Medicago truncatula: one gene and its partner. The protein of the gene in region 1 interacts with the protein of each later gene in a pairwise test. Links are inferred from orthologs where the notes say so. Each region holds a gene or a part of one and is shown on either strand. Other genes may lie near its edges.

Region 1 (16,534 bases):
ACAGTTAATTGTGTCGCTTAATCTTAGGGGAGTATATGATTATGAATAATATAAATTCAGATCTATATCTTTAGATTTGATTAGTGTCTTCATAGTGTCTTTCATATGGCTTATTAGTGTCCACATTAGACATAAATTGAATATTCTCTAGGTGGCACATTTATGGTCAAAAAAGGACTTTGATTCTCTGACGATAATAACTAACATGAAAATATTTATGTTATGTGTAAAATATAAAACCGAACAAATATAAAATATTTCATTCTTTGTTTCTTTTGAACTTGTAAGAATCGATCATGAAAGTAAATAAATCAGAATTACTTTCTATCGTATAGCCGTCAGTCTTGCCGATGAGAACAATAGCAACTTTACAAATGACAAGTATATCTTATATTTAATTTTTTTTTAATTTAATAATCTTTTTGTAAATTATCAAGAAGATTCATAATACTTTCATTGATCCCAAATGATTAATTTAATACCAACCTTCACCACTCTCATAAACTATATTGGATAAACTTGTCATTTGGGGGCATGAGAACAAGTTATCTCATAATTTATAGCTTATAAATTTATACGATAAAAAAAAATCAATCCGTTTGTAATCGACAATTTTATAAGGAAAAAAAAAATGATAGGCTATAAATTAGCTTATAGTGAATAAACTTTTTAACTAATGTGAAAATTGTTCTACTTCTCAGCTCAAATAACGATTTTTATATGTTCATAATCCCTTATCATACACCTTCTTAGTTTTATATGTTAGTTTTTTTTTTTAAATAACACAATAAACAAAGTTTTATATGTTAGTTTAGGGTTTAGGAAATTGATGATTTTTTGGGTAGTTTATGATCAGATACTTGCTTTTTTTTAATGTGAATTTAGTTTAGACTAAGTTTAAGTGCAATGTGGTGGTTGAACCCCTGAGGGACCTCGACATGGTTAATGACTGGTCATGGGATTATGATTATTTTTAAAAAAGATAGGGAATAGTTATTTTATTATTTGAACACGATGTTGTATAAATTCAGTTCACTCACTCTATATTCTTACCCAATTTTTTTTAGGGTTTTTACGTTTGAAATAGGGGAAGAGCAAAATCATGTCATCAACGAGGAAGATCACCTTGAAAAGTTCCGACGGCGAGACCTTTGAAATCGACGAGGTTGTGGCAATGGAGTCACAAACAATCAAGCATGTGATCGAGGCTGGTTGTGTCGATGACGCTGGAATCCCTCTTTTGCAAGTAACCAGAAACATCTTGGCGAAAGTTATTGAGTATTGCAAGAAGCATGTTGAGGCTACAAGTTCCGAAGAAAAACCTTCTGAGGATGCTCTTAATGCTTGGGATACTGAATTTCTCAAGGTTGATCCATATACACTCATGAAACTCACCTTGGCTGCAAACTATTTGAACATCAAGAACTTGTATGATCTTACATGTAAGACCATAGCAGATATGATGAAGAATAAGCCACCAGAGGAGATTCGCGAGACTTTCAACATTGTGAATGATTATACTCCGGAGGAAGAAGCGGAAGTTCGTCAGGAGCATTATCAGGCTTTTCAATGGTTATAAAATGAATCTGTCAATTTAGTCTCTAATGCTTTGTTTGATTATTTTATTTTGAAATTACAATCTCACTCAAGAAATTTCCAGTGGGTTTTATGTTACGCTTCATTCCATTCCTGAAACAATCAATGTAGACTTCATGGAATAAGTTACATAGTTTGAATTTTATGAGCATAAGATTTTATCAAGGTTATTTGATAAAAAGTTTATTATAATTAATTTGAAAGTTTAGATTAAAAAATAATTTAATGTCATCTATGTTGTTTACAATTGGATCCTAAACAAAAGGTGAACTCTCTTTTCTTTCAAAAAAAAAAAAAAAGGTGAACTCTCTTCGATGATATAATTTTTTACAGAACTATAAAATTAAATATCACTATTTAGAGATGTTACGATTAACTTCAACAATTTTCTTAAGCCTAGCCGCCGCTCCTATTATTTTTCTCTCTTTTTATCTTCTTTACCCATCAATAAGTGGTGGTTTAGAACCAATTTTTGACCCTAAATCATCCCCTAGAATCGGAAGTTGTTCAACAGACTACATAAAAGGTTAAGATGATTCAGGAAAAGATGAAATCGTCTCAGAGTAGGAAGAAGAGTTACCATGATGAGAGAAGGAAAGATACTGAGTTTCAAGTTGAAGATCATGTGTTTTTAAGAGTGAACCTCGTGACCGGTGTCGAACGTGCTTTGAAGTGTAGGAAGTTGACACCATATTTTATTGGTCCATTTGAGATCATTGAGAAAGTGGGAGCAGTAGCGTATCGGATTGCGTTGCCGCCGTTGTTGTCGAATCTTCATAGTGTATTTCATGTATCTAAACTCAAAAAGTATGTGTATGACCCGTCACATGTGATTCAAGTGGATGATTTGGAAGTAATTGATAATTTGACCGTTGAGACTTGGTCGGTGAGGATTGAACATCGAGAAGTGAGGAGGTCAAGAGGAAAATAGATCGTTTTGGTGAAAGTGATTTGGTTTGGACCAACCGGTGAGAGCGCTACTTGGGAATCGGAGAGTCTGATGAAGGAATCGTGTTCAGAGTTGTTTTCTTCAGGTAATTTTCGAGGACGAAAATTCTTTAAGTGGGGGAGAGTTGTAACAACCTGTTTTTCGCTCGGATTATTTTATATATATATATATATATATATATATATATATATATATATGTGTGTGTGTGTGTGTGTGTGTGTGTGTGTGTGTGTGTGTGTTTAATTTCTCGTTTGTGTGTTTGATTTGAGATTAGTGAATTTTTAGGCAAGAAATGGTATTTTAGTCATTTTAGAACTAAGAGTATTTTGGTAATTTGAGAAGCGAGGGTAAACTAGTAATTTTAGAATGAAGAGTATTTTAGTGTTTTAGTGTGAATAATTATTTTTACTAATATTAGTAGTAACTTGAGGTAATTGTTTTGAGATAGTAATTAATGAGATGTTTTAATGAGTTAAGTGGGTAGTAACTTTTTAATTAAGTGGTAAGAGACGCTAGATCCATTATGAGATGAGTTAACCTAACCCATTAGTGGTAAGAAAATGAGTCAAACGTTGTGAATTTTGAGAAATAAATTGACTTTGTAAAATGAAGATGCTATGATTGAACTATTATGATGTTAGATGATATATAGGAATATAATGATTTATTTATATGTAAGAGCACAGTATCTTACTTTTGATGAGATATTTGAAAATAAACGATATTTGTGAAAATATAAGAACTTTGGAAAAATGAGGAATTATGATTTGATAACTTGCAAATGACTTTCTATTCATTATGAAATAAGTGTGAATCAGTGATTGGTTGGTGTATAATATGTTGGTCATCGTGATGTGAGTGATTGTTCGTCTATTACGTGGATTGTGCTTTATGAAACAATGTTGTTTCCTTGTGGTGATAATTGTTTAATAATTGTTGATGATGAATATGTAGAGATGAATACTTGATAATAAATATGTAGAGATGATTAATTGATGGTAATTATTGATGTATGGATGTATTGTTTGATAATGCAACGTGGTAAAAAGGTAGAGTATGAAGAGTTAATTGGTGATGTGCATTATCGAGGTAATACTTGAAATTCATACATTCATAAGTAGTCCTTTATGTCGAGAATATGTGGAGAATATGTAGAGGGATCAATTGGCAAAATTACCTCCGACATGGAAATGGTACCACATGCATGCAGAGTCGTGTCTAGACCATTACATGCACATGAGATGTGTGAAATGTGTCATATTTGATTATATGACTTGATGAATTATGTGAATTATATGTGATTGGTGAATAATGTGATTTATGTGGAGTTGTGTACTTGAATATGTTTGCTTGGTGATATTAGTACGCTTGAGATAATGTTGTTAAGGTGATGAGTTATTGATGATAATTTGATTGAAGAAGGAGATATGCTTGAATATATTATCATTGATTTTATGACAATATTCATACGATGTTAGTATTCTAGGATGATGAGCATGTATATATGTGATGTTTGAAATCCTTGAATTCTATTTTGTGCTTTTATTTTACTATGTGGAATATTATCTAACTCCTAGTTGTCGTTTGGTTGACCGCCTCACCATTTGTATAAATGGTGTAGATGACGTGCAGGTTTGAGTCGTATTGCTTGTGAGTGCTCAAGGATTAGCTTGGAGCTACCTCTTCATCTTTTGCGTGGAGTCTAGATTAAGCTCTGATTAGGAATATCGGGACTTATGCATTTTATGTTATTTATCTGTTGTTGGATTTATTGTTGAGACTGTTGTTATGTACACCCTATGGTCACTATTATAAGCAAAAATTCACTTCTTAGGTTCATTCAATAAATGATGTATGTGGTTTATATAAAGATCACATACATCATTTATTGAATGAATCTAAAAAGAGAATTTTTGCTTATAATAGTGACCGGAGGTGTATATGAGACCTGAGACATGGTGTTGATATTTTATTATTTATGTACTTTGAGGATGATTACATGTTGTTGAGATATTTATGATGTTTTTTTTTTTTTTTTCCGCTGCTAGTTTTTATGAAAATCAGATTATGCATGTTTTTTAGAAAATGATGACGTGTCATCTTAATCTATTTCGAATAAATGATTTATTTGCATGATTTATTGCATTTTGGGTTTAGGACGTCACATTTTGTCCCTGATGCGTCTTAGAAGTGGGCCCATGTATACTATCTACATTTTCCCCGTCTTTTCATCAGCAATATAATCAACGACTTCTTGCTTAAGTGGCCTAGGACAATCCCCAACGGGTCGGTGTAACATATACAGATGTGAAATCCTGAAAGACAGTTTCATATATCCAAATGATGTCTCGATACCGTGCAGTGCATTTGATCCCAAGTCCTCAACAAAAAACACACACTCAAGAAAGTTGGTATAAGCTACAAACACTTGCTTTCAGGTCATCACAGGTAAAGCAGGTTGACCTTGATGCCTGGGAATGACATTAACAAATCCAAACTTATACAATTCTCGCTCAACCATATAACTAACTAGGTGAGATATGTAGTTGATTCATTCTGAATAGAGGGTGATGCTCTGGACTTCTTACACATGGATCTGATTATATGATGTTTGTATCTATAATCTGATCCATGTGCGCTCTATAAGGATATGTGACAACGAGACCCTTCACTAGTACAAACATCAAAGGACCGAGGTGTCAATCCTCCTTGTAAGATTGAACAAAATCTGCACACCAGCATTATCTATTCAGCAAAATCTTCCTCTCTTTTAATATAATATTAAACAGCACTTCAAAGTGAAAATTCTTCTCTTAATTAGGAACATGACCATCCAAAATTGACTTCTCCATCATCATGCATTTAAACAAAATTGTTAAAACGATCAAATTGTGACAAAAAATATAGAATCCAAAATGGTGTACATAGTTTACTAAATTTAAAGAATATAAAAAGTAGCAGCTAAATACTTTACCCTAAAACCGGATCTTGACAGGTTGTCCTACACTACTTTTGCATGCAGATAACTAATTCTTATACTCTCCAAAATGCAGGAACAGCCAGGACAATAATCTAAAATGGAATTAGGTAGAATAATTCAATTCATGTCACATTAAAAAAAATGTGTCAGTGTCACCCATGTTACTAAAGAATGTGTGTATTATATAGCAACCCTGGTCCTTATCTTCAGTTTGCCCTCATTTTAGAGTAACATCTCACCGACACAAACACAATGGCACTAAACTCCAAATTCTACACGCATTCGAAATTTTTCTTTCTTTGAATAAGTACACCCAATGAATAGTTATAGGGTATAATTTTTGACAATGAGGTGCTAAATTATTTAGAAATGATATTTGTCAATCATTTTATAACAATTTTCTCTCTTATGTTCTCTCTGGTTCTATTTATAAGAAACATTTAACTTTTTTAATTTATTACATAAATAATGTATTTAATATATATTCTAGACAAGATACATTAAGAGTTTTTCTATTTACACCCCATATTTTTCTGGTTACACCCAAATTTTCTTAAAAAAAATTTATAATATCAAAATTGCCCTTTTATATAAATTTTCTTAAAACCCTAATTTTATTCATTGTCGGTGAGTTTCACCCTCTTTCGCCCCACAAAGCGATCGATCAAACAATTTGATGTTCAATATCAATCTCCATGAAAATTAAAGAGTGAATCAAAATATTTTTCATCCATACTCAATTGGATATAAGTAAGTGAATTTCTTCTTCTATTTGCTAGTTTCAATTTTTTTCCTTCAACTGCAATGATGCACTGTACGATTACGGTTTTAATTTACATTGGCAAGGTTAACTTAAATTCAGTTTAAGTAGGTTCATGTAAACTTAGTTTACATGAACCTACTTAAACTGAGTTTACATGAACCTACTTAGATTGAGTTAACATGAACCTACTTAAACTGAGTTTACATGAACCTACTTAAACTGAGTTTACAAAATCGCAGAACTGCGAATCGCAGAACAAGGAAAACACAAAATCAGAACTGAGAACCCATAAAAAGAAAAACACAATCGATTGAAGAACAACACTTGCTAACCTGATTTGCTTCGAATTTTCTTTGAAATCATGAATGGACGTGAGAAAGTATGGTTTTGAAAATCTTCGCAGAACACAATCGATCGATTGGAGAATTATGGTTTTGGAAGAATGGTTTTGGGGTGTAACCAAAAAAGAAGGAATAGGCTTTTTGAAAATCAAATTTTATGAAAGGGTAATCTTGTCATTTTGGGGTGCAACCATGATTAACTAGGGTGCAACTAGAAAAACTCATACATTAATTATACAATAAATCTAAAAAGTCAATTTTTTCTTATAAATAGGACCGGAGGGAATATTATTTACATTGTGTTTTTACTTTATCTTTCTTTTGTTTGATTTTCGTGTAAATATCTATTTATTTTTTTGTAAATCTATTGTTGTCAAATAAATCATCAACCAAATAGTTGTCCAAATAATACCTCTCTAAATTATTATAAATTAAAAGCAATATGGTGGACCAAAACTCATTTGTGTGTCGATTGTACATATGCTACTTTACAACGAAGTAATTATTCATGTTTTATGGTTTCTAAAAGGATTCTTGTTCATATGCATAACATATGTGATTTGTTTGTAAAAACCTGTTTTAGTATGTTTACTTCCTTTCATAAACCTGTTTTAAAAAAGTTAATTTTAATCTTAATGTTTGATTTATTTTTAAATTGTTGATTACTGATTAATGAACAATAGTAATTCATCTAGTAATGCTTGCAACATCTTGGACTTACATGTACTATTTTATCGTTGGCATCTTTAACAGAGTTGTTGATATCATGTGATAATCTTGAGTATTATACTTTGTGGGGTGTTACACTTAACACTTTTGATATTATAGTGTTAACTTCACCAAAAAAGTCATTCTCATAACTTTACCATAGTATTTTCCTTATATTTATGTACCAATTTTGTTGCCTCTCTTCTCCACATACTAGGAATAAAAAATCGAGATTTAAACATCCTCAAAATATTAACACCATCATAAAGATGCAAGGAGAAGGAAGTAAAATAATGATTCTTAATAGGACTCTACCATAACCAATAGTGTTGTGTAATTTATACTTTCCATATAAAAAGTCACGTGGCATCGCATGTGAGTTACTACTTTAACAACTCTTTAGTTTAAGCAGTGTTCACATACTCACATAAATGGGTCAAAACCGACGTTCCTTCATTTGCTACTTTGATTTCAGAGCTATGTTGACTTTGCTGTCTTTGGCATTTTGCAGTTTGGCACAGCTTGGATTCTTTGGAAAATGTAACAAGTAACTAACCTAGTGGCTATTTAATACTACCACACTCTTATAACTAGTAGAGTATCATTTTAGGTAATGCATTTCTTTAAAAAAATACTAGTTGAATATCCGTCAGCAATCGAATTGTTCATGAGAATATGAGTTTTATTTTTAAGTAAAAGAGTTTTTTTATCATATTTACTTATTTCAAGGTCGAACTCCAAATTATCAAGATATATTTTCCCTTGAAATCGAGGGATAAACACACATAAAATGATTAAAATGTGTTTGTTAAAGTTTAATCGACAAAATCTGATGTATGTGGTCCAAATTTTAAACTAAGACCGAAACTACTACTACCTCTATCTTGTACATACTTTTGTCTAAATACATTGTTTTGACTAAAAGTGAGACATATAATATGAGTCAATGAAAATATACTAATTGAAGTAGTTAGTTTGACAAGTAAATAATGTGAAAATATTATTACAAAAAGTAAATAAATTTTAAATTTTAGAGGAGTAAATATTCCAAATATGCCATGAGGGAGTATCATGGCTTGCATACCCTACTTTAATACACCTTTGCACTCTTTCATGTGATGTGTGTGTAACAAAAAAGGCTCCTTCACCAAAACTATTTCTTTCTAATTATAGGTCCCTTCTATCAAAATTTGAACTCCATACTTTTCAGATCTCAGATCCACTTTTTGCAAACTTAATTCCTCCCCCCATTTCCTACCTACCTACTCCAACATCACCCAGTTAATTCTTTATACTAATAATTTTTCATCAAAAAGTAAAACCCTTTTTTGCAATCATTGTATCATGAATTTTTGACAAGTAACTTTTCTACTTAATAGCTTTCCTCTCCTAATTATTGATCAAAGAAAACAGAATAAAAAAAAGTCATCATAATTATTGATCAAAGATTTTGTTTTATACACCCACTTAGTAAAATCATGTCATCTTAGCAATTTCACTTTTCTTTCAATCCAAACTCTGAATATGAAGAAATTGTGTCTTAAACTTTGTTATTTGTTTCCAACAATCATTCTTGTGTTTCTTATTCCAACTTCACTTGCACAATTAGCACAAACAGAAACTAGAATTCTTTTCCAAGTTCAAAAACTTTTAGAATATCCACCAGTGCTTCAAGGATGGAACAATTGGACAAATTTTTGTTTCCTCCCTCCTTCACCTTCACTCAAAATAGTTTGTTCGAACGGTCGCGTAACCGAATTAACTATCATTGGAAACAAAACATCTCCATCTTCACATATCAACAAACCTTTTCAAGCACTTTCAGGAGCTTTTTCAACTGATTCATTTTTCACTGTTTTGACAAAACTTTCAAATTTGAAGGTTTTGTCATTGGTTTCATTAGGTTTATGGGGTCCATTACCTGCAAAAATCAACAGGTTTTGGTCACTAGAAATTCTCAACATTAGTTCAAATTTCATTTCTGGTGAAATTCCTTCTTCAATTTCTTCAATGAAGAATTTGAAGAGTATTGTTGTTGCTGATAATCTTTTCAATGGAAATATTCCAGATCTTAAGAGTTTAACCTCTCTTGAAGAGGTTAATTTTGATGGAAATAAGTTAGGTCCACAATTTCCTTCAATTGGAAAAAATCTTGTGAAAATTATTTTGAGCAAAAATTCTATAAGATCACAAATTCCTTCTATGATAGTACACTTTGATAAACTTCAAATATTTGATATTTCTTCCAATAACTTTTTTGGAAAAATTCCATATTCCATATTCTCATTACATTCACTTCATTACCTAAATTTGTCTTCAAACAAATTTAGTGGTAATCTTTCAATGAATTCACCTTGTAGTTCATCATTGAATTATGTTGATATTTCACATAATTTTCTAGTAGGAAAATTACCATCATGCATTATGAATTCAAAGGGTAAAGTATTGTATTCTGGGAATTGTTTATCAACAAGAAATCAACATGCATCTTCATATTGCAAAAAAGATGCAGCTTTAGCTGTTAAGCCTCCTAAAAGAAAAGTGAAAAAGGAATCAAGTATGAAATTAGGACTTGTTCTTGTTATTGTTGGAGGTGTTGTTGGAGTTGCATGTGTTTTGGCTTTGCTTATTGTGTTCATCTTGTGGAAATCAAAACCAGAAAGATTGAATCATAATATGGATAGATCTGCTGCTCATAAGTTTTCAGATAAATCAAATTTGAATGCAAGTAAGACCACTATCATTATGTTTATTTATTTATTTATCATTTATTGTAAATTAATTTATGATATATTAAATCATATGCATCCCAACCAACGATCGAAGTGATTAATAAGTTTCAACTAAGGTTAAATACTTGAGTTTGAACTCTAACGGTAATAATTTATAGTCAGGTTTTACTTATCTCCTGGTCAAACCTCTGACTATAAGCTTTTTTCGTGATTTACCGATGTGTTATAACAAAATAGAAAATACATATAATAGGTTGAGAAGATATTAACTGTTGAAAAATCCATAGTGTTTCAGTCATGATAGTATTTTCTATGTTGTTTTCATGAACAGTAATTTTAGTAGTTTATTTACTATTTAGTAGGGAAGTGTCTGTAAAGATGTACATGCTGTCATAAACTTGCTCTTTTGTTTGTTTTTTGTTTTTACTTTTAGTAATTCATAATCTGGTCGAGTGGTAAGGAAAGTCTGATTAATAATTTTTAAAGCCAAGAGTCAAATTCGATATTATTCAACTTTAATTGAATTTAATTAACCACTTTATTTGATATTTTCTCTATTTGTTTTCCAATAAATAATTTTTATATTATTTTTCACTCATATTCTCTTAATACAACAAAACAAATTCCTTCAATTAAAAATTGCATTAATTTGATCTGACCTATGAAAACAGGACATGTTCCTCAAACAATGAGACTAGCTACACATGGACAGCCACCATACAATATTTTCACAGAAGAAGAAATTGAAGATGCAACCAATAACTTTGACCAATCAAATTTAATAGGAGAAGGATCACAAGGACAGGTAAAAGAATATTTTTTATAATCTTCAAGGTTTCATAACTTGTTCTTTGTAATGAAAAATGGACCCCATGATATTAATTATTTACTATCTTATTTACACAGATATATAAAGGTTCGTTGAGGGATGGTTCATTGGTCCTAATTAATTGTATAAAAATAAAGCAAAAGGGTTTACCACACAGCATTATGCAGCAATTAGATGCATTACAAAATTTGAGGCATAGACATATGGTGAGTGTTCTAGGACACTGTGTCATTACTCATCAGGACCCTCCTCAAGTAACATGCACAGTCTTCATTGTACTTGAATACATCTCAAATGTGTCATTAAGGGATCAACTTACAGGTAAACAATCACATCATCAAATCATAAAGAATTTAATTCATATTAGACTCTGAGTTACATTGTCGATCAATCATAATCGTCAGATCATAAAAGTGTTTGGTAGATTGTGATTTGTTGACAATGTAAAACATTTTACATTGACAAAGTATCAAAATTAAATTTAGTCAAAATTACATCATAGGTCCTTTAAGTTTGAGGTTTGTAACAGATTGGTCATTTAAGTTATATTGATCACAACTAAGTCCTTTAAGTTTGATGTTTGTAATAGATTTGTCATTTAAGTTATTTTAGTCACACATAAGTCTTTTAAATTTGTAAACGTTTTCGATTTAGTCCTTCTGCAACATCATCGTTTTTGTAACATTTGGTTAATAGAAGGACTAAATTGAATGTCATGATATGAATGTCAAAGCAAAGATTTGAATGTCAAAAAATGCGACATGACATGAGATTTATTTAACAGATGGGAAAAAGAAGGATATGCTAAAATGGCCACAAAGAATGGCAATCAGCATAGGAATTGCAAGAGGAGTTCAGTTCTTACATACAGGAGTTGCTCCTGGAATATTTGGCAACAATTTCAAGATTGAGAATATTTTGTTAGATGATAGTCTTAATGCAAAAGTTAGTGGATACAGAATTCCATTGCCATCTAAGGTTAGGACAGAATACATGATTTGATTAATTTTTTTCAGTAATATTTGCATGATCATCTAAGTTTCTAACATGGAATGATTTATGCATTGATTAATTTTCAGAGCACAGTTAATGAACCAAGTTCCGCGAATCAAAATGGAAGGTATATCTCATTTTAATTAATCACTTGATCTTATGTTATATTTCACTGTATCCTAAGATAGTATTTTGAAATTTAAATCCATGTGCAGCACAAACTATGCAGAAAAAGAAGATATTTATCAGCTAGGTGTTATTCTACTTGAAGTCATTACTGGTAGACAAATTGCATCCTCCAGTGAAGTAGAGCAGCTCAAGGATGAGGTATCCATTACTACATCTGTTCTTTGTCACATGTTTTTCATAAAGTGCTCGAAGATTATAACGATTGTTCATCTTACATGATAAATGTTTTCGTCAATATTATAAAAATCGAACTGAATCAACCAGTTGAACCGAGAATAAGTTACGTTGCAGTCCAGTTGAACTGGCTGAACCGACAAGTTAAACTGCAGTTCAACTAGTTTTCATTGTTTTATAGTTTATGTGTCATCTGGTTCAACCATGACTGAACTGATTGAACTAATTAAACCATGACTCAAAGGTTTCACAGATTTGGTATCTCATCCGATTTTTAAAACATGAGTTTTGGTACATGAAAAACATTGCCGAACATGTAAATCTATTTTACGCATTATCTAATCAAATTTTATCTATCACCTGTTTGTTGAGATATTTTAAAAATATAACAAATCGACATTAAAAATCATTTTGATTGATAAGATGACCGTGTAAAAATATTTTATACTGTCAATAGACTCAATACACATTCCTTAAACTCGATATCCGATTTAAAGACTACTTTTCTTATCTTTAATTACATCTTTGTCATATTCAGCTGGAAAGAGGTTCATCAGAAGCACCGTCGCAAATACTAAGAAGTGCAATTGATCCTTCTCTACGCGGGAGTTATGCATATGAATCAATGAGCACTGCAGTTCAAATAACAATCAATTGTCTCTCTAAGGTTTCTAGTAAACGTCCTTCAATAGAGGATGTTCTATGGAATTTACAGTATTCAATGCAAGTTCAAGAGAATTGGACCAGCAGTGGGAACCTCAGCACAAAATTTTAAACCTCTTGTCAATAAAATTTGTCTGATTGTGTTTCAAAAGTTCATTGATCATGATGAATAAAATGGTAATGTAAATATTTAATTTCTTCCATAAGGCCAATAACACATTTTGTCCTACATTTTTCATATTTGTTATGTATAAATTATATTATTATTAAAGTTCCTATCATATTTGTATTTTGGCTCCTGTAAATCTATTCTTGTGTGGAACGATTATTGATCAGGCTATATTTATCTCACCGTTGAACTCCGGATTATCAAAGATCCCTTACCGGATGATTAACACAAAATATATTTATGAGAAACAATGTGACAAACATTCAAAAGGAAGTTACAACTACATAGATTGGAATATAAAACAATTTGTTCAACTAAGAACCATATTCTCAAGTACCAGTTTATGACACGTCCAAAATCAACAGAGTCAACAATAAACCTTCAAATTCCTCAAAAATCAACATTCTTCCTTACTTGAAATGCAAAAAAAGTTGTATTTCTTCTGCTAGATTACCAACTAAGCACTTTTGAATGTTGTAGTGTATTTAAGGACTGAAATTATGTGATTCAATTTCGAACTGATCAAGGATAACATGATTGGAGCTTTAAAGATATCGAAATGCTTAGACCAAATGTATCACGGGGTCCTTTAAATTTAAAGTTTGTACCAAATTAATCCTTTTTTAGTTTTTTTTAGTTTTAAATTGGTCTTTTATATTATGAAAAGTCTACACCTTGTCTTTAAGTGTTTAAGTTGGAGGAAAGAAAGAAGATTTCCCCACCATCGATCGATTTTAGGATGGATTGGTTGAATGTTAGCTCATTGGTTAAATGATTATGATGGATGAAGAAGAAGAGACGGGGTGTGAAAGGGGAAGAACAAGGAATAGATTTGGCGTAGTAGGGTGTGGAACGGTACATCTTTTATTGTTTTTTAATTTAAAATCTCAACCCTTACATATTTTTTGCCACATGTTTTACATCCAAATCGTAAATGGAGCTTAGCTTAAATAGAGGGTTACTCATCATTTATGTGAATTGTACTATTATCAAGTATACACTTATTATATTGAAATCCTTGTTCCCTTGTATTAGTAATAATTACATGTGTGTTTAAGGTAGAGAAACTCCACCATCAATCAATATTAGTTAACTAAAGATTAACTCATCAAATGATTATGATGGATTTATCGGCGAAGAAAAAAGAGGGGGTGGAAGGTGAAGGGGAAGAAGAGGGAGTGGATTTGGTGTTGTTACACCAATTAAATAATTTAGCATACATCATCTCTTGAAAAAAAATTGATCTTGATAGAGGTAGGGAAAGAGAGGAGGAAGAGAAAGGGTTGGAAGAGGAAGGAGAGGGAGTACTCATGAGTTGAATGATCATGATGGATTTATGGTTGAGGATGAGGAAGATGAAAGGTGTGGAAGAAGAAAGACTAGATTTGGTGTAGTATGAGTGCCATTACATACTCTGGGGCATAAAAATTTATGACTATTACTTTTCCCGCCCTGCTGCAAAAATTCTATAAATACCTCTGGTCTGAATTACGTAATTCGGACCAGATTGTTAGTGTTTCTTGAATATATAATCCGGACAAATACGATATGAATATTTTGTGTCTTTCTTTGATGTCAGGGTCTCTGTTGACCGTTATACGACCCCTGCATAAGCTGCAATGCAATTGAAGGGGTCGTATGAGCAGTCAACAATGACCATGACACCACTAACACTCCTAAAATCTACCTAAAAAACTAAAAAATTTTGAAGAAAATGTAAGAAAGGAGGGTAAAGAAGAATGAAGGAAAATGTTGAAGATCTAAGCCTTTTTATAGCCTAAAACAAGTCATAGGTAATTTGAAAGTCAAGGAAAATGTGTTTTTCATTCAAAACCGTCCAAAAAAAACGTATTAAAACTCCACTAACCGGCCTAACCTTTGGTGAAACGTCACCAGCCAAAATGTTACTGAGGGTTTCTGGATTTTATAATTTGGAATGCATGAAGCTATTCCGGATTTTAAAATCCGAACTGCGTCAGACCCTTTTGTTTGGATCGTTTTTGTTGCAATTGCCTTGGAAAAAAATAAAACAAAGGTACATAACATAAATTGAAGCAACATAAGACAAATAAACAGTTAAAAAAAACCATAATAACAGAAATGATGAATCTTTTGGGAAGGTGTTTTCAAGAGGATTTCTTTGAGTTAGATCTTACTGCCTTGCCAAATGACATATTCATCTGGCAGGCAGCAAGATCTAACTCATAGCAACCTCTTGATATTTTTGAGTTATCTATGTATCAAGGAGGCATCAAGCAGTATCTATATATTTTTGACAGCATGATGAGGATCTTCATCATGCGGTTATATAGAGATATATATTTAAAACAGCATGAGAAAGATCCTCGGCACAATGACAAAAATTTGCATGGTCTCTTTGGTGTGTTTGTTTGTATTTTTGACAGCATACTGAGGATCTTCATCATGCAGTCAAATAGAGAGTTAACTCATCTATTTGCGACCGCATGAGAAAGATCCTCAGCTTAATGACAAAAAATTTCATGATATTCTTTGTTGTGTTTGTGTGTTCTAATGGTGTTGAAGCTAAAAACCGGAGAGGATGTATTTATAGAGGTCTTTGGATGTTGTGGACCGCATAAACTCCTAGTGCAATGTGGTCCATACAAAAGAATCTTATGCTGAGGTATTCCGGATTTCGTTTTCCGGAACACAGATAAGCCCTAGGCATATCCGGATTTCGTAATCCGAAAATCATATCTTTGGTTATTTTATTGAATATATGAACATATTTGACGTAAATTAAAACATAATGAAAGTTTAAATAATATATATATATATATATTATTCAAACTATAATGCAACTACTTAATTCAACAACACATAACTAACATGCAATTAAAACAACATAAAACATGTGATTAAGTAAAACATGGATCATCTAAACTAACTTCTTCCTCCTCTGGTCCCTCTAGCAGAGCCCGAATCTCTTCGTAGTTCCTGGTCCGGTGCAAACTTTTCAGAATTTGTTCAGCAAATCTAACCAACGAAGTGTCCAACTCGATCAGTCCTCTTGTACTGTGCTGACCAAGGACAGAGAACATGGTTCGCAGGTCGTCGTCGTTCTTGAGTTTCATCCAGCTAAAGAGATCCGGCTGAGTCGGACAATGGACATCGATATTCAACTCCGACCACCCTCCTCATGTCTTTGTGGTTGAGTTGACGGTTGATTTGATCCAGCTCATCCTTCAGCCCGGAGAGGGTGACATTGTCTCGAATCCTAAACAGATGGGGTGCTGTTCCACTGTTGTAGTAGACTACCTCTAGCTTGGTGTTTAGATCAAAGCCAGGGAATTCCATGTTGTTTTGTCTAATGTAGTTTAATTGTAATGAAAACAGGGACCCCTATTTATAGAGGTATGTGGGCGTTGTGGACCACAGGAATTGTCGGTGCAATGTGGGACACACAAAAGAATCCAATGCTGAATAA
Region 2 (16,415 bases), on another chromosome or scaffold:
GTAGTTAATTGATTAAATATGTAATTTTAAGCATTAATATAAAAGAATTCCTATTTCCACCTTCCTCACTTCTCTAGCACCCTCAAATTTGACGAAAATACCCATGTTCGGATTTTATAATCCAAACCATTTTCACAAGTTTCAATTTATATAATCTGACTTCCCTAAAAATTCAGAAAAACCTGCAATTTGACCTAGTTCATCCAAATCTTGTTTCAACATGATTCAAAAAATAAAATCAGATTGTCTTATACTCCCTCCGTTCCTTTTTAAATGTTGTGAATTTTTCGTTCCTATTTAACCGTCTTTTCGATATTTTAAAGGCACGATTTGTCAATTTCTCTTATATTTTTCAATAAAATTAATTAATATTATCTATTTGGAAACTAAAGTTTTTTTTTTAAAACAAAGTTTGCTTATTTTTATTTTTAAAACAAAGTTTGTTTCTTGTTATTTTTATCTTCAAATTTAAATAAAATTTTGTTACAAACAATGGTTTTACGAAGAGTTAAAATTATATAAATAAGATGGATAGAAATTGTTAAAAATTTCAAGTGCAAAGTAAAAAAACAGATTTGAGAGAAGAAAAATAAAAGACTCCATGAATGTTCAAAATGAATTTTTTTTTCCCTTTCTTTAGCCATGTAACCAAAAAAAAAAAGAATGTTCAAAATGAAGAAAAAGTGGAAGACTCGTTAGAATTGCCGATGAGAGGTGAAGATGGAGCAATAGTTGAAGACTCATTTGACAAGATGACAATGAAGAAGAGGTTTCATCAATATAATTTTTATACTGACTGAAAATAATTAAAAAAAATGTGCATAATATTTAGAAAATTGACAATTGTTTATTACGAGAGAGATAATGCGCAAAAAAAATAAGAATTTGTTGGAGAAAAAGTTAATACTAACTCATAAGTGTTTGTTACGAGAGAAATATAACATATTAAATTAAAAAGGTGTGTGCAAAAAAAAAATAGAAATTTATTGGTTGATTAAAATGAAAGTACAATAAGAAGAAAATGTGCAAAAATACACATTGCTATTTTTATGTTAATTTTTTAAAAAAACACTTAAAAAGAAACGGAGGGAGTAATTTTTTAATTTCATTTTAGTCTCATAACTATTATTTCTTAGAGTATATTTTAGCTCCTCAGATTTGCTTCGTTTAAAGAAGAATTTGTTACTACACACTAGGGCTGGACAGAATATTGAAAACCGGCCGAACCGGATGGACCGAAGCATGGCGGTTCGGGTTGAGCGGTTAAACCGGTTGGTTGGTCCAGTTGAAATGGTTTGGTGTGACTAATCATGGTCGGTTACGGGTTGTAATATCCAACCCACGGAAAACCGTTTCCGACCGATCCAGCCCACGTAACTAATGTCCAGCCCAAAGTCCAGTTGAACCCACATATATAAACATAAGTTAGAGAACTGAAACCCTAGTTTTTCTTTCTTGTTTGTTTTTCCTCTGCTGCGGCTGCTGTTCTTCTCCATCCATACATCAGAAATGATTCCTTTCCTTCAAATCAAACATCATCCAAAAACACACAAATCTCGAATCATAAATCACAAAATCATTATTTTCTTCCATTTTCCATAAAAAATTTAAAACAAAAATCACAAATTAACAATGTTAATCCTGCCTTAAGAAATATATTCTACTACACTCTGTATTACGTTCTTATTTTATCTTTTGTTGCTCTACTGATCATAGGTTTTAGAGATTAGGCTTGAGCCAAACTCCATGGTATAGATATACACTTGTTTTCAAGCGTTTCCAGAAGTTTTATAGATATAGACATGTCTTGGTATCTATGTTGTATTTTAGCTTTCACACTCAACTAGGATTATTCTTTTGGTTTTCGTCAACTAGATCTCTTTTCTAAGTACTACCTACTGTTTAATCCTTGTTGTGCAGCATCAAAATTATTCTTTTGGTTTTCATCAACTATGATATATTGTGGCACAAAGACCGCTCTTGATTTTTACCGAATTAACCGAACCAAACCACACATTTCACCGGCTTAACCGTCTACACCGAACCGACTAAACCGATGCCTAAGTTGGTCGGAAATGGTTTAGGGATATGCAACCGTTGGTTTAAACGGTTTCAAGTTTTGGAACCGATTTTGATTTCGAACCTAACCGACCCACACATACAAATGACAACAACTTTCTTGACAGCTGTCAACTCCAATTGTGCTCCCATGTAGTAATAGTTAGATATGATAAAATCCTAAATTAAGTGAATGTATTGAAGCAAGTCTTAAAGAAGTGTACACAACTTGATCCTCCGTAACTCCTTACAATATGACTGTAGAAACACTTTGTAACCAACAATTGCACCGTTTTAACGGGATATGTATATAAAAAAGCACATAAATAAACTAAAATAATTGTCACTGAGGCTCCAACAAATTTAAGTTTTTAACATACTACATATTTATAGGATAATTTTGAAACCATAATCCCAAACATTAACAAAAGCATTTTTCATCTCCTACTCAATGAAGGCACCTTTCTTGAGAACAGTCAAATTCAATTGTGCCCACATGGAGTAGTAAATAGTTCAATATGATAAACTCCTAAATGAAGTAAATACATATAGCAATCAACTAAGTTGTAGACTGCTTCAATCTTTAACGAAGGGTTAGTGAGACTTTATACGAATATCCAATTTGAGTTGTCCAAAACCAAAATGATCTGAAGGTATCACAAGAAATCCAGCTGTAGGAGCATCACCATTATTGTCTTGAATGGTCTTCGTAGAAGATTGCAATATTAATGTGCTCCCTTGAGACCTAGCCAAGACATCATAATGAGTATCTGTAATTGCTTTGGGGCCCATGCAACTAATATGGACCATATTTCCGTGTTGAACAATGTGGTTGTGAACAATAAACAATCTTGCGTCATTTTGATCTAGAAGAACGATTTGTTTCTGTCGGGTATTTAAGGAGACAGAAATAAATTTGTCATAGGTAAACTGTATTCCAAAGCCTGCATGTCTGTGGCTGAAGTGGAGAGCTAACTCCTTGGATGAGGCAAGAAAACCGCAGCCTGTATGTGGGCATTTACATGGTATATATATGCATTCCTTCTCGTGGCTACTTTTCATACTGCAACTAAACATATCTTTGCAGCCATATTTTGCATTTGGGCATGATATTTTAATAGATTCCAGCAACTTCTCCACAGCCCGACAACGATTGTACCCAATGGGCATTGAACACATAGGACATTTGTTCCTAAGTTCGCCACAACATTTAGAGCAAGCAATATGCCCATTCTCACACTGAATTGTCATTTAATCACAAAGAAAGTTATCAAATTAGATCTCTCATTACATGGGGCATCAAACCAAACAATAAAAAAAAGTACCCTTGAAAGGCTTGCATGTTGAAGTAGCCAGATAGAAAACCAAAGGAACATACAAAAAAAAGTGGCAAATAATCAAAGAGAGCTCCCTCCCTTTCTTTTGAAGGGAAGGGAGGAGGTAAATTCCTCCTCCTTCTCTTATTGATTACCTTTAAATTACAGCAACCACATAAAACATTATCAATGAACAATGACATTCTTTCTTTCTTTCTTTTTTGAAAAATTGACATGAATCATAATGTGAGGTCACCATCATACTATTGTACTTCAAAAGAAAACATCAATTCAAATTTAAACATTAAAACAAACAACAAACCATGTGATCAACAACTCTGAGCACAAGGAATGCATAAAGTAGAAATTTTAGTAAGTATTGAAGATAAAAAATCATCTTCACAGCGAATTCAACTACAGTCACACATCAGTAAAGAACGGCTTATTAAAAAAAAAAAAATCTAGCAATTAAGACTGTTTTCCATTGTAATTATATGAGCTCAAGTCGTTAAGAGTTTATCGCAAAACATCAGCTATATGGTTATGAGACCCTAAATCATTTACCTATATCGCCCATGACAAAGTTAATTTTGTATTTTGTTTAAATTTGAGTTGCAAGTTTGCCATAGAAATTAATTCATGGTAACGATGAAGACTACTGACTACCATTCAACAAACTACAGTGTATCTCAACCTATTTGTTGATGCAGGTGAATATATTAAAAACAATAGTGCTAAGAAATAGCATTATGCAGCTAGAACCTTTAGAACTCAGAATAGAGTATCAGATCTATGTAGCAAATAGCAATTGATTTTGATTCACAAATTAACACTCATAAACAGAACTTTGAATTCGAGGTTTATATTCAACAAAATCGTTCCTTTTGAACCTTCAAAATACAGAAAGAAATGTGTCTATATAAACACCTATGCCAACAAATTGACCCTCTCTCAGCCACATTTCAGGCATAAGTATAACAACTTACTCAATTAAGTTCATTACATTAAGGGTAGTCCAAAACACCACACAGGCCCACATTGGATGTTACATCCTTCCACATTGATTTTACAGTAAAAAGTTGATTGGATATGGGTGTGGGTGTGGGTGTGTGGTGTTTTGGACTTGACTGTGTAATTTTTCAGCCACGCTTAAACCATGGCCTTTAAAAGGGGAGTCCAAAACACCACACACCTACATCCAATGAACTTTTTACAGTAAAATCACAAAAGTAGACCTGCCATAACAATTTATCCTCGAATCTCAAGGCATTGGGTTTGGGTTCATGGATTGGTTGTGTGTTACAGCGGTTGAATTCATCAATCCGCCAGAGCTGATTACAATTGACTTGCTATGGATGTGAAATTTCTGAAATCCTTTTCAAAAGGAAACTTCTTCACCCAAATTCCAACTCACAATAAAATCACTAACCTAAATCTTCCATCACAAATCAAATAATTCATACAAAAACAAAAAATCACAGCAAAAAAATTCAAGATTTCTAGTCAAAACAGAACACCCAGAAGAGAAACTAACCTGATAAATAGGAACTGCCAACGGTTCAGAGCAAATGAAGCAATCAAGAACATCAGGATCAGAAATGATAGCAGAAACCTTCTTACTCAGATCATTATTCTGTTGTCCCGCGTTGGATCCAACCGAATTTCTTTCATTTGCATCATTTTCTAGGGTTTCAATTGGGGGATTTTCCATTTCAAACCCTTCTTGAGGTTGTTGATTTTCTTCTTCTTCTTCTTCTTCTCTTGTAGTTGTTGCTGCTGCGACTTCTTCACCGGCGTCGACCCTTCGACGCTTCTGATTTGGGTTGCTAGGTCCTTCACCGTCGTCGCAGCCACCAACGGAAAATGTCACCATCGGTGGTTGTTTCTCGTAGGTATCAAATATTTATTATTTCGATAAAACTGCTATGGTTTTAATTTTAACATAAAAAGATGCTGCTGGTTTTGATGTGATAAATTTACCTATGTACTTTTAGAACTACTTCTATTAATTATTTCCATATAGTAGTACATTACTATTGATTATTTTTGTAAGGTAAGAATAATGTCATTGACCCGAATTCATATCTAAAAACTAATAATTTTTCAAAAAAAAACCAAGTCGGTTCAAGGGGACTGCCATTAAAATAAAGGACCCGAATTCACGCGTAATGTTTATGTTAAATATTATTTTCAACGTATATTATTAATTATATTAAATTTTTATTTTAAAAAGTTCTTGCACTAATGCGGTTGAGTCAAATTAAAGGAATTGACTCTCACAATCTTACGAATCAAATTTTCGAACTATAACTAGGAACGATATCCATATTTGATGATCGACATGCCTCCAATTCCTTTATTGAAGAAATGTTATATCCATATTTGGCGAATTGTTGCTCCAGTTAAGACTTTATTGAAGAAATGTTATATCCATATTTGATGATCGACATGCCTCCAATTCCTCACTGTAGAAACTGTAGAAATGATCTACAGTGAGGAAGCAACAATTTTTTATGACATAGTTTGATTCAACTGGAGCTTTTATTTCTCTCAATCTCCGGTTAATTCAAATGGGTGAAATGTGTTCGTTTAGAGTGTCCCTAAGGATAGTTTTGTTAAAATCAATGGTGATAGTTTTGTTACTGATCATGGAGCCCTAACAACTTCGGAATGGTAATGGTATTTGACTTTGAGCTCATCAAGGTGGAGTTTGATTCTCTATCAGCACTGTCCTTATTTCTAATGGCTTTGATTTACACCAGCCATGTTATCCAGATTAGGGATCTCCTCGAGCAGTTGTCTTCTTGGTCTGTTATTCATGTGCATTGGAAAGTTAATAAAGTTGTTGATTGTTTTGCCAAGTTTGGTCTTAACATTTCTTCTAGTGCTGGGATTTTTATTCAATTTCTGTTTTGACTTCTTTTAGTTTTGCGTGTCTGAACCTGTGGTGTCATCACCTCAAATACAAAGAATTGGCTTAAGGACTAGCAGTTCCGTTAGATGATGATTCATTTATACTATATGCTTAAGCTTGTATAAGCAAGAAAAATTGGTGAATCTACAACAAGATATAAACCCCAGTTTTCAGAATTGCTTAATCATAGTTAGTCTCTTTTTACTGTATTTCCTCTTTTATATTGTACATCAAAAAAGTGGTACCTTATACCATAATACCCAATAAGCTAGTAAAATGATGTTTGTTGCAAAATACTAAAAACACTTAATGATGTAAATGCAATAAGCTAGTAAGTTCGAACCAGATTCTAGTTAAGTTCATATGCATTGGAGGGCCATTTATATTCCTCTTTTTCAATTTCATTTCTTGTCAATAATCATGAAATACAAGTATCCGACTTCGAATTTACTCCCTCAAACAGCATGTATCAATTGCACAATTAACAGCATAAGAACAGAACAGAACAGAACAACAAGATATCGAGTCACATAAGAAAACATACTACTACTACTACCAGGGAAAGGGGACACAGCAAGAAAGTGATTTTCCCTAAGCAAAACCTAAACAAACAAACAAGTCAGAAGAAGCTACAACAAGATTATTACATTTAAGCAGCGTTCTAAATGCGAGTGTCCCAAAGTGATTCTTGCTGAACTTTACCACTCTTCAAGAGTTCCGCGATTTCCTCCGGAGGGTTCAAACCAAGCTTCACAGCACGCTCCAAGCGTGCCAGCCTCGTCATCCCCATACAAGGCCCATACTTCATGTTCATGTCAAATTGTCGAAGCACAGCCTCGCTGCCGTTGTGTTCATCTGTAGTAACCGCAACCAAATCATATTAGAAAAATAAAATATATGAAATTAATAAAAGATGAAGGTGATTGGGGGTGAGAAAACCCTAGAAATCAAATTGAACCTTGGAGATCTGGGTTGGTGTTGAGGGATGGTGAAGTGGAGGCGTGAGTTGGAGGTTTTATGGACTTGGATGATTTGGCGGTGGTGGTGAGATTGGTGTTTTTCTTCTGCTTGTAGAAGCCCTTCATATTCCCAGATACCGATGAAGACATTCTCTCTCTCTCTCTCTCTCTCCTTTCGAATTTTGAATTTGAAGAAAATGGTTGAAATTCTCGGGTTGTCTAAAGCACCACTGACCCCACCTTTAAATAACCACGTATTTTTTCCTTTTCAATTTCAATAAAAAGACCACAAGGTTGGTTTATTTAATTATTTTAGTATCATTTCATATTTAAATTGCCATAAAATCATGATAAATGATATCTGTACAATAATTTTTTGATAAATTTCTCTCTTATATTTAAATTATGTTTTATTCGCTCTTTTTTTTTTTTTCCTTCTCTATAGTTTTTGACTGGTCAAATGAGAGAAAAACAAAATTGACATAAAAGTTATTCGAAAGAGTTGTACAAACTCTAAAATCATACAATCATACATCGAGCAAGATTATTATTACATAAAATAAATAGCAATATTTGGTATAATTTTTTTTTTACCAAGTACTACTTCAAATTTTCAAAATGGTGGGGTCGGAGTCGGACATCTCAATTTATTTAAGCTAAGTTATAATGAATTAGAGATCTTGGTTTAAACCCAAACAAAAAGGTAAAAAGTAAACCTAACAAATAAATACTAATATTTATCGTAAAAAAAGTTTTTTTCCTTCAAAATAGTATAAGAGCATAAATATAATTGGGCACGTATGTAAATACAAATTACAACATATGAGTTGTTCAGAGGAGCTACTTCGATGGAGCTCCAAGAACATTCTAAGACTCAAACGATAATACATTGTTCAAGCTCATTAAGTTATGATCCAAAGTCTTTCATTGGATGTCGGGTACGAGTACGACTGTGCATGAACAAGGTTTCAACACATCCGTACAAGGAACATGAAACTGAGACTCGTTTTTAGACACATTAATTATTCGTACATGACACGTAGAATCAGGGCATACATAACTTATGTCACTTTGTTGCGTGGCAGGTCATGATAAGCTTGAACGGAACCACAACAAGTTTATATGCATAGCCGAATTTGGCATGGTTGGTGTGAGTTGAATAATCAAGCTAATGTTGAGTGAGATCTTGTAGATGATGTGATTTGGCATGACTTGAAAATTCAAACCAAACCAATGTTGAGTGAGGAAGAGGTGAGCTAGCATGATTTGAACAGTCAAGCCAATGCTGAGTTGGGCGATGTGAGCTGGCATGACTTGCATAGTTAAATCTGAGTTGGATCTTGCTAGCCAATCAAGTTAAGATATTACAAGCCACATGGTATGATCGTCCATACCAATCCACAATGCATCAAACGTCAAATCTATTATGGCATTTAGACGTTTGTTCTTTATTCAATTGACCTATACCAGTCCACATTTTGCCAAAGATCAAACTTGTTAATGCATATATATTTGTTCTTTATTCGGTCGGCGTATATCAATCCACTAATAATCATTAATGAAATGAATGTTTTATTCAAAATTATTGTTATAAGTTTTTTAATATTACTATTTTTTGGAACAATTTTAATATTATTATTTAGTTATCGTTATAATGATATTTTTTCAATTATTATCATATATATAATTAGTAGAGAAATGCTAGCAACACACATTTTAACACATTGTCTTTGATTTGTTAAAATTCACATGAGACCCAACAAATTTATATGGAACCCACATAATTTGGGGACTCATGTGAATTTTAACCAATCAAAGAAAATGTGTTGAAAAATATGCGTTGATGACCTTCCTCGTAATTAATTAGTATCCTACATTTATAATGATTAAAACAAAGTAAAATAATGAAAATAAAAAAGGTTATATATTCAGTTCAATTTCTATTTTTTTTTACTAAACCATTTCCACCCCTCTATCAAAAAGGTTTTATAATATTTATAACTTGAAGTCACGGGGGGGGTGGGGGGTTGTCAAAGACTAATTTCTATGAGTTATCAAAATATTAATATTAATTCTCTTATATTGATTTAAGTCCAGACTTAAATCTCACCTAATATTACTTATTTGAAGCAGCGTTAGCAAAAAATATACTATACTGCTAATTTTTTTTGAAAGAATACTACTACTAATTGAGTAAATAGTCAATTTTTCCCTTGAAATTGTAGGTTTCGTCAATTATTCTTCTAAAATTAACAAAACTTCAATTACCCTCATGAAATTGCATAACGTTAATCAATTTACCACTCCGTCAAATTTTTCTGTTAACTGTTTACGGTTATGATCAAATACCCCCTGAAATTTTGCACTTATGTGCAAAATGCCCTCTAAACTTAAAAATTTATATTTTTTTATCCTTGACTAAAAATATATTAAAGGTAAACAAATTAACAATTATTGATCATATAAATATGTATGTAATGTATGTTTATGGAGCTATTGGTCATATAAATCTTTATAGAAGATATGTTACTCTCATGTGTTTTAAATATATACATATATAGAAGTTTTTTTTTTTTTTACACAAGTTGGTAATTATGTTAGAGTATGTAGTCATAAAGTACACAAGTCTTTGATAATTGTGTGTCCATAAAGAAAATGCATATGTTTATATCTGCAGAAGGAAGAAGAAACAAGACTTGTTGATAAATATGAAATATAAATGAAAAGACTCCACATGACAAAACCATGATTTCTTTGGCATATATTCATTCATTTTTTTGTGAATAGAATATTTATGACAATAGGTACAATATACTACTTGAAGAACTAAATGTATGATTTTTGATAAGAAAAAAATCTAAATTTTTAAGTTTATGGGACATTTTGCGCATAAGTGCAAAATTTCAGGGGGTATTTGATCATAACCGTAAACAGTTAACAAAAAAATTTGACGGAGGGGTAAATTGATTAACGTTATGCAATTTCAGGGTGATAATTGAAGTTTTGTTAATTTCGGGGGGTAATTGACGATACTTACAATTTCAGGGGGGAAATTGACTATTTAATCACTACTAATTTGTTTAGTCCTTACAGTTCTGTATTGGGTTACGGTTGCAACAAGTGACAATAATGACAGTTATTCCACATCATCACTAAATTAGTTTCCTTTACCAGTTGTTGTTCTGAAATCATCCATCCTAGATAGTAACACATTCATAATCATGGCTACCACCATTTCATCAACTTGCTTCATCTTTGTTCCTATAATTTTATCATCGTTGTTATGTCCTAAAACAACATTATGTGCAACTGTCCTAGAAGACCTCAAAAACTTACACAAACCACCAGATTTCAACACTACCATTTTCAACAACTGTCTCAAAAACCCTTCTCTCAGATACTGCACTTCCTCCCCCATGGTTGACCTTGATGAAATATTCAAACACACTATTGTTGCTAGTCATCTATGCAATGAATCTAACAACCCCAATTGTGTTGAATCATTTCCTAAAATTGATCTTCGTAACCGGCCAAACATTGCATCTCTTTACTTGTCTTTCACTTTCTTTTGGAAATATTGTCCTTTGAGTATTCAATCCATTGATTTCTCCAACAATTCTATAAAGGGTGGTTTTCCAAATGATGTTCTTTATTGCACACAAATTCAGTCTCTTGATTTAGGTATCAATGAGTTTTCTGGTGAAATTCCAATTCAAAGTTTCTCTTCACTAACTAACCTCACTTTTCTTAACCTTTCTTATAACTGTTTCTCAGAGAGTGAAATTTCTGATTCACAATTCTTCAAAAAGTTTAATGCTTCTAGTTTTCTTCATTCTGGTGCTCTTGTTGATCACAAAAAGTTTACTATAAAAGCTATCATTTTATTGGTTGGTTTTCCTATTCTTGTCATTTTGATGGTAATTTTCTTGGGATGGCTTTGTTTTCAAAGACCTGATTTTCTGCCAAGAATACTTCAAAGTAGTAGAGGATATACATTTACACCAGCAATTCTTGAGGCTGCAACTTGTGGTTTTTCGAACAAAAATTTGGTTGGTAAGAGTGATATTGTCCATATCTACAAAGGGGTGTTAAGAGATGCAACTGAAGTGAAAATTGAGATGTATTGGGATGATATATCAAGGGATAGCTATCATAAATTTGTTGAGGAATGCAAGATTCTGTCTGAGTTAAATCACAAGAATCTTGTTAAGGTTTTAGGATGGTGTAAAGGTAGAAAATTCAGGGCTATTATAACAGAATGGACAGAAGAAGAAAATGTTGAAATGTGGCTATCAGGGGCAAGTCCATCATGGAATCATAGAGTGAAAGTTTTGATGGGAGTTGTTGAATGCATGCTATATCTTCATGAGGAGTGGCCTGAAGTTGATTACGATCTCAAGACAAGTAGTGTTTTGTTATCTGATAAACTAGAACCATTGATTTCAAGGTTTCAAGTTGGAGAAAGAAACAACAGTAGAAGAAGTAAGAATCTCTATCACTTTATTAATTTATAATGGCAATATCATGTTTTGGTGCGCACAATTTCTTTCAAATAGTTGAGAGTCGCACGTTAGATTAAGGCAGATTACCCTCCACACTTCAAATATACACATAATGTCAAAAACAAAAAATATGAATAGGAATGTGCGCGTCTTTCTGCTAGTAATAGACAATTACCATGCGCAATCAAGATTTCTTCCAAAATGATATTTTTTCTTTTTTCCTTTTCCTTGTTTTTATGTCTTATATCGTTATTGAATTAATTACTTTTATTATATTATAGAGGTGTGTAAGTTTGGAGTATTTCTGCTGGAGATGATACTAAACAAGAGCGTTCAAGAGGACTTTGATGGAGATGATGCCGGTTTTATTAGCTACATGAGAACTCTTCGTCTTTCAGAAATGCAACAAATGGTTGATGAGAGAATAAATGTTACTGAAACAACTTTGCATCAAGTTAAACAGGCTTTATCCCTAGGATTAATGTGCATAGACCAATCAAGCAAAGAGCAACCAAGCTTGGCACAAATATTTAATATTGTATCAAAGGCATACAAGTCTAACCTTGTTTTGCCATCTGCAAATCATAAAACATTTCATGGAGATAAAGTTATGGGACACAAGCATTTTCAGTTTAGATAAGTCACAATATTAAAGGAAATTTTTCCTTAGATTTAATCTTTAGAACTACCATTAGCTCTGTTCTGACTTCTGATAATTTATTTTGATTATACTTCATTCACTATCGTAGTAGTTTTAAGCATGTATTGTATAGTTGTACTAATTTAGTATATTTGTTGGCTAACTTTTAGCTACACTTAGTGACATATATTTGAATTTGGATCATTTGTAGTTTGTTGCAGATGTTCCAAATCACCTAAATTTGTAGTCAAATGGATGTATCATGTACCCGATAAGAAGGTGCTCAATGGTATAAAATGGGTATACCCTATATATGAGTGTCCATGTATCACTACTAAAACAAATGGATCAAGAATATGTGTTTTTTTCAATGAAGGTTTATTATCTTTTAAAAAGTTGGCTTAATTGATCTGCCGGTCCCTTAATTTATTTCTTTTATTCAATTTGGTCATATAAGTCTTAACTTTCTCAAACACGTCCCTTAACTGATTTCTTTTATTCAATTTGGTCCAATTTTGATAATTTTAATCCCCTAAAAAAAGAGACCGTTGGATTACGGAGGTCTATCAGATTTTATAGTGTATCATCAACACCTAATTTATTTACTTTCTTCTTCTTCTTCCATCATCTTCATCTCCATCCATTCATCCTTCATCAATAAAACCCAGGACAAAAAAATTTAAACCAATTATTTAATCACTACACCACCATCATTGTCATCTTCATTTATCATCATCAACACACTCCAACAACCTTCATCACCTCCCATATCGAAGATCAACAAATTCTTCTCACCAATACTCGTCACTTTTTTGTGAAGAAAATTCCAGACAGCCATCCACAATCCATATTCAAACCGTTTTATATTCCCATCAAAATCTATTTCAATTCCATTTACCCACTCACACTCATCATCAACTCCACCGCTTTCTTCCCCCAAACTCAAACCCTCCTTGCTCCTGTCAGATCTGGAACCAAATAATAACAACAAGTCCGGTGATGACGCGAAAAAAACGACGTTTTAAGGCTTTTCACGGATGACTCCTACCTTTTTGAGTTTGGTTTCGAATGTAACGATTCATTTTGAGCTGGTAATGGATGTCGTGAAATGGAGCTGTTCATGCAGAAAACTGAGTTTGATTTTTGTGTTTGATTGTCGTGAAATGGAGCTCTTTGATTTGAGAGGTTATGAAGGTTGTTGTTTATGTGTTGTTGTTTCTGGAATTTTTATTGAGGTTTTGCTTCTTTATGGATTTTTGATTTTTGTGTTTCTTCTCCTTTTGTGGTGTGTTTATGTTCCAAGGGTGGTTTTGTGAGCTTGTGTTCTGTTTTGTTTGGGATCTTGCCTTGCTGGTGTTCTTTAGCTATGGGAAAGGGTTTTTTTTTTTTTTTGTACCATTTGGATTGGATTGGGGAATTTGGGATTGCAGAGATGAGGATTGATGATGAATCTAGAGAATGGAATTGGAAGAGTGTGATTTGGAATTGAATCTTGGTTTTTTATGAAGATGATTGAAGGATGAATGAAGATGAAGATGAAGATGATGGAAGAAGAAGAAAGTAAATAAATTAGGTGTTGATGATACACTATAAAATCTGATAGACCTCCGTAATTCAACGGTCTTTTTTTTTATGGGATTAAAATTATCAAAATTGGACCAAATTGAATAAAAGAAATCAGTTAAGGGACGTGTTTGAGAAAGTTAAGACTTATAGGACCAAATTGAATAAAAGAAATAAATTAAGGGACCGGCAGATCAATTAAGCCTAAAAAATTTCAGTAAATGTGTACATTACTTGCTCTACAAGTAATTATTAAAAACTAACTAACTTGCACAAAAATAGCTAACAACATTAACTAACAATTTTAGCTACTTATAATCTCAACTAACTTGAACTTATCTCAGCTAACTTGAATTAAAAATTAACAGTGCAGAGTAAAATTTTCCTAGTTGCAATGATAAGTTATATCCAAATTGACACAAGAAAAATAGATTTAGGCCCAAATTGCTTAGAAGTAACAGTTCCCCAAGAAAAAATTGTAAATCTAATAAACAAGATTAGTCATGTATTTCTTCATTCCTTATTCAAAAAAAAAAAAAAATGTATTTCTTCATTCCTGTATTATGCAACAAAAAAGTGGTACCTTACACCACAAAACCCAATAAGCAAGTAAAATCTTGTTCGTTGCAAAATAAAAACACTACTAATGTGCATAAACTCATCAAATCGTGATCGTTACAAAATATATTAATAATGATCATGCAATAAGCTAGTTAAATTCGAATCAAATTCTAGCTAAGACTCACAAACTCAGTCTTTATTGATTTAGTCATAAGGTGTGATACTTTTTCCATGCAAGGGTTGATTTTATATCTTCTTGTTTTATGATCTATAAACATGTGTATGCATGTATCAATTAAAACCATTTGAACATTGTAGTTCAATTTCCGTGACTGCATACATGAGACTCTAAAAGATTCGAAAATATGTTTTCCCAATTTACATCATTGATTCAATATGGTGAAAAAAAGAAAAGGGTGAATAGAGTCAACAATTTTTATGATCAAATTTAATCAATTCACTATTGTTTCTTTGTTACTTGCTTCCCAAGAAACTACTAAACGATGCACAAAAACAAACACACTAACAGAAAATGATTTTTCAAAACACATATATAGAAGTTTCTATCATATCAACCAGCAACATTCACTTAAGAGCCAATTAACATTTGATAAAACTTGTAAAACAAAACACACTAACAGAAACTGATTTTCCCTAAGAAAAATCTAAACAAAAAGGTCCATAAAGAAACAAGATTATATTATAACTAACAGCAAGAAACAAGATTATATATTATACTAACATCTAAGCCTTCTAAACGCGTTTGTTCCATAGGCCTTCTTGCTGATCATTACCACTCTTCAAGATCAGTTCCTTAATTTCCTGCGGAGGATTCATATCCCACTTCTTTGCACGCTCCCATCGTTCCAGCCTCGTCAGCCCAATGCTAGGCCCATAATCCATGTTCAGGTCGAATTGTCGCAGCACCGACTCGCTGTTGTTTTGTTCATCTGTAACCCCACCATTCACATTCCCAGTAACTGATGAAGAAGAAGACATATTCTTACTCTCTTTCTCTTTCACATTTCCAGATGAAGACATTTTCTCTCTCTCTTTCTTGAACCTTTCCCTTTTTGAAAACTGTTTGAATGAAACTCTCGAGTGGTGTAGATAAGTGACTTACCTAGCCACCTTTAAATAGACATACACAGCACACAAGCTTGGTTTATTTATTTTATTATTTGTATCATCATTTTCCTTTTTACATTTTTGTGGGATAAATAATTGACCATTTTTTTATCATTGTAATTGATTGATTTTTTTTATAAAACTGAAATATATTAATTTTATGTAAAAAATGTTTTTTGACAGCTGAGATATGTGTATAAAGAAAATATGATTAAACTTGAAGAATTGTCCGATGAAAATTAGTAATACTAAACAAAGATCGATACTTTTGGAAAGAGTAATGTTAAAAACAATTATTGAGTTAATATTTTTTTTCTTTCTTAATAGTTAAAAACAATAGATAAAAAAAAAAAAAAAGTGAGAGTAAAAAAACAATATGAGTATGAGAGACTTGTCTAAAAGTAATCATAAAATGGTGTTGTACAAATATTATTTCTGTTTCAAAAATGGACTAAGGGCTCATTATGCCGTAGTAGTGGTATGCGGTAAATTTCTATTAGATCAACTTTGTCTAAACGAATCAACCACTATAATCACTTGGCTCTTGAAAACTCTGGTTTGTTTTAATTTTTAATTTTTTTTAGTTTTGATTCTCATTAATCACTTTTTGATATTCTTAATTTATGCTTTGTTTTGTGCAGTTTTTTGCGTTTTGTGTTTGATTATTGGTGAGACTGTTGCGGCGATTGTTGAGTTCATGCCTGTTTGCATTGTGGTCGTTTGATTTGGATTTCATTGCTGAAACAGTGTCGTTGAGGGCAATGTGTTTGCCAA

What was found.
Region 2: the proteins of probable LRR receptor-like serine/threonine-protein kinase At1g14390 (region 1) and LRR receptor-like serine/threonine-protein kinase FLS2 interact in a protein complementation assay, tested with the Arabidopsis thaliana proteins (2 studies listed by BioGRID). The link is inferred for Medicago truncatula from reciprocal best matches to the Arabidopsis thaliana genes AT1G14390 and AT4G20790.

Annotation. Positions count from the first base shown.
Region 1 is NC_053049.1:26,871,211-26,887,744, forward strand, and holds probable LRR receptor-like serine/threonine-protein kinase At1g14390, read left to right. Parts: upstream 1-8,426; 5' UTR 8,427-8,861; coding exon 8,862-10,065; intron 10,066-10,740; coding exon 10,741-10,874; intron 10,875-10,975; coding exon 10,976-11,219; intron 11,220-11,682; coding exon 11,683-11,876; intron 11,877-11,977; coding exon 11,978-12,018; intron 12,019-12,106; coding exon 12,107-12,218; intron 12,219-12,792; coding exon 12,793-13,029; 3' UTR 13,030-13,222; downstream 13,223-16,534. Other genes in the region: SKP1-like protein 1A, read left to right, coding at 1,103-1,579; uncharacterized protein, read left to right, coding at 2,129-2,527.
Region 2 is NC_053045.1:45,931,223-45,947,637, reverse strand, and holds LRR receptor-like serine/threonine-protein kinase FLS2, read left to right. Parts: upstream 1-10,468; coding exon 10,469-11,729; intron 11,730-12,030; coding exon 12,031-12,389; downstream 12,390-16,415. Other genes in the region: E3 ubiquitin-protein ligase SINA-like 10, read right to left, coding at 2,653-3,297, 4,909-5,247; DNA polymerase delta subunit 4, read right to left, coding at 6,950-7,143, 7,247-7,397; DNA polymerase delta subunit 4, read right to left, coding at 15,267-15,554.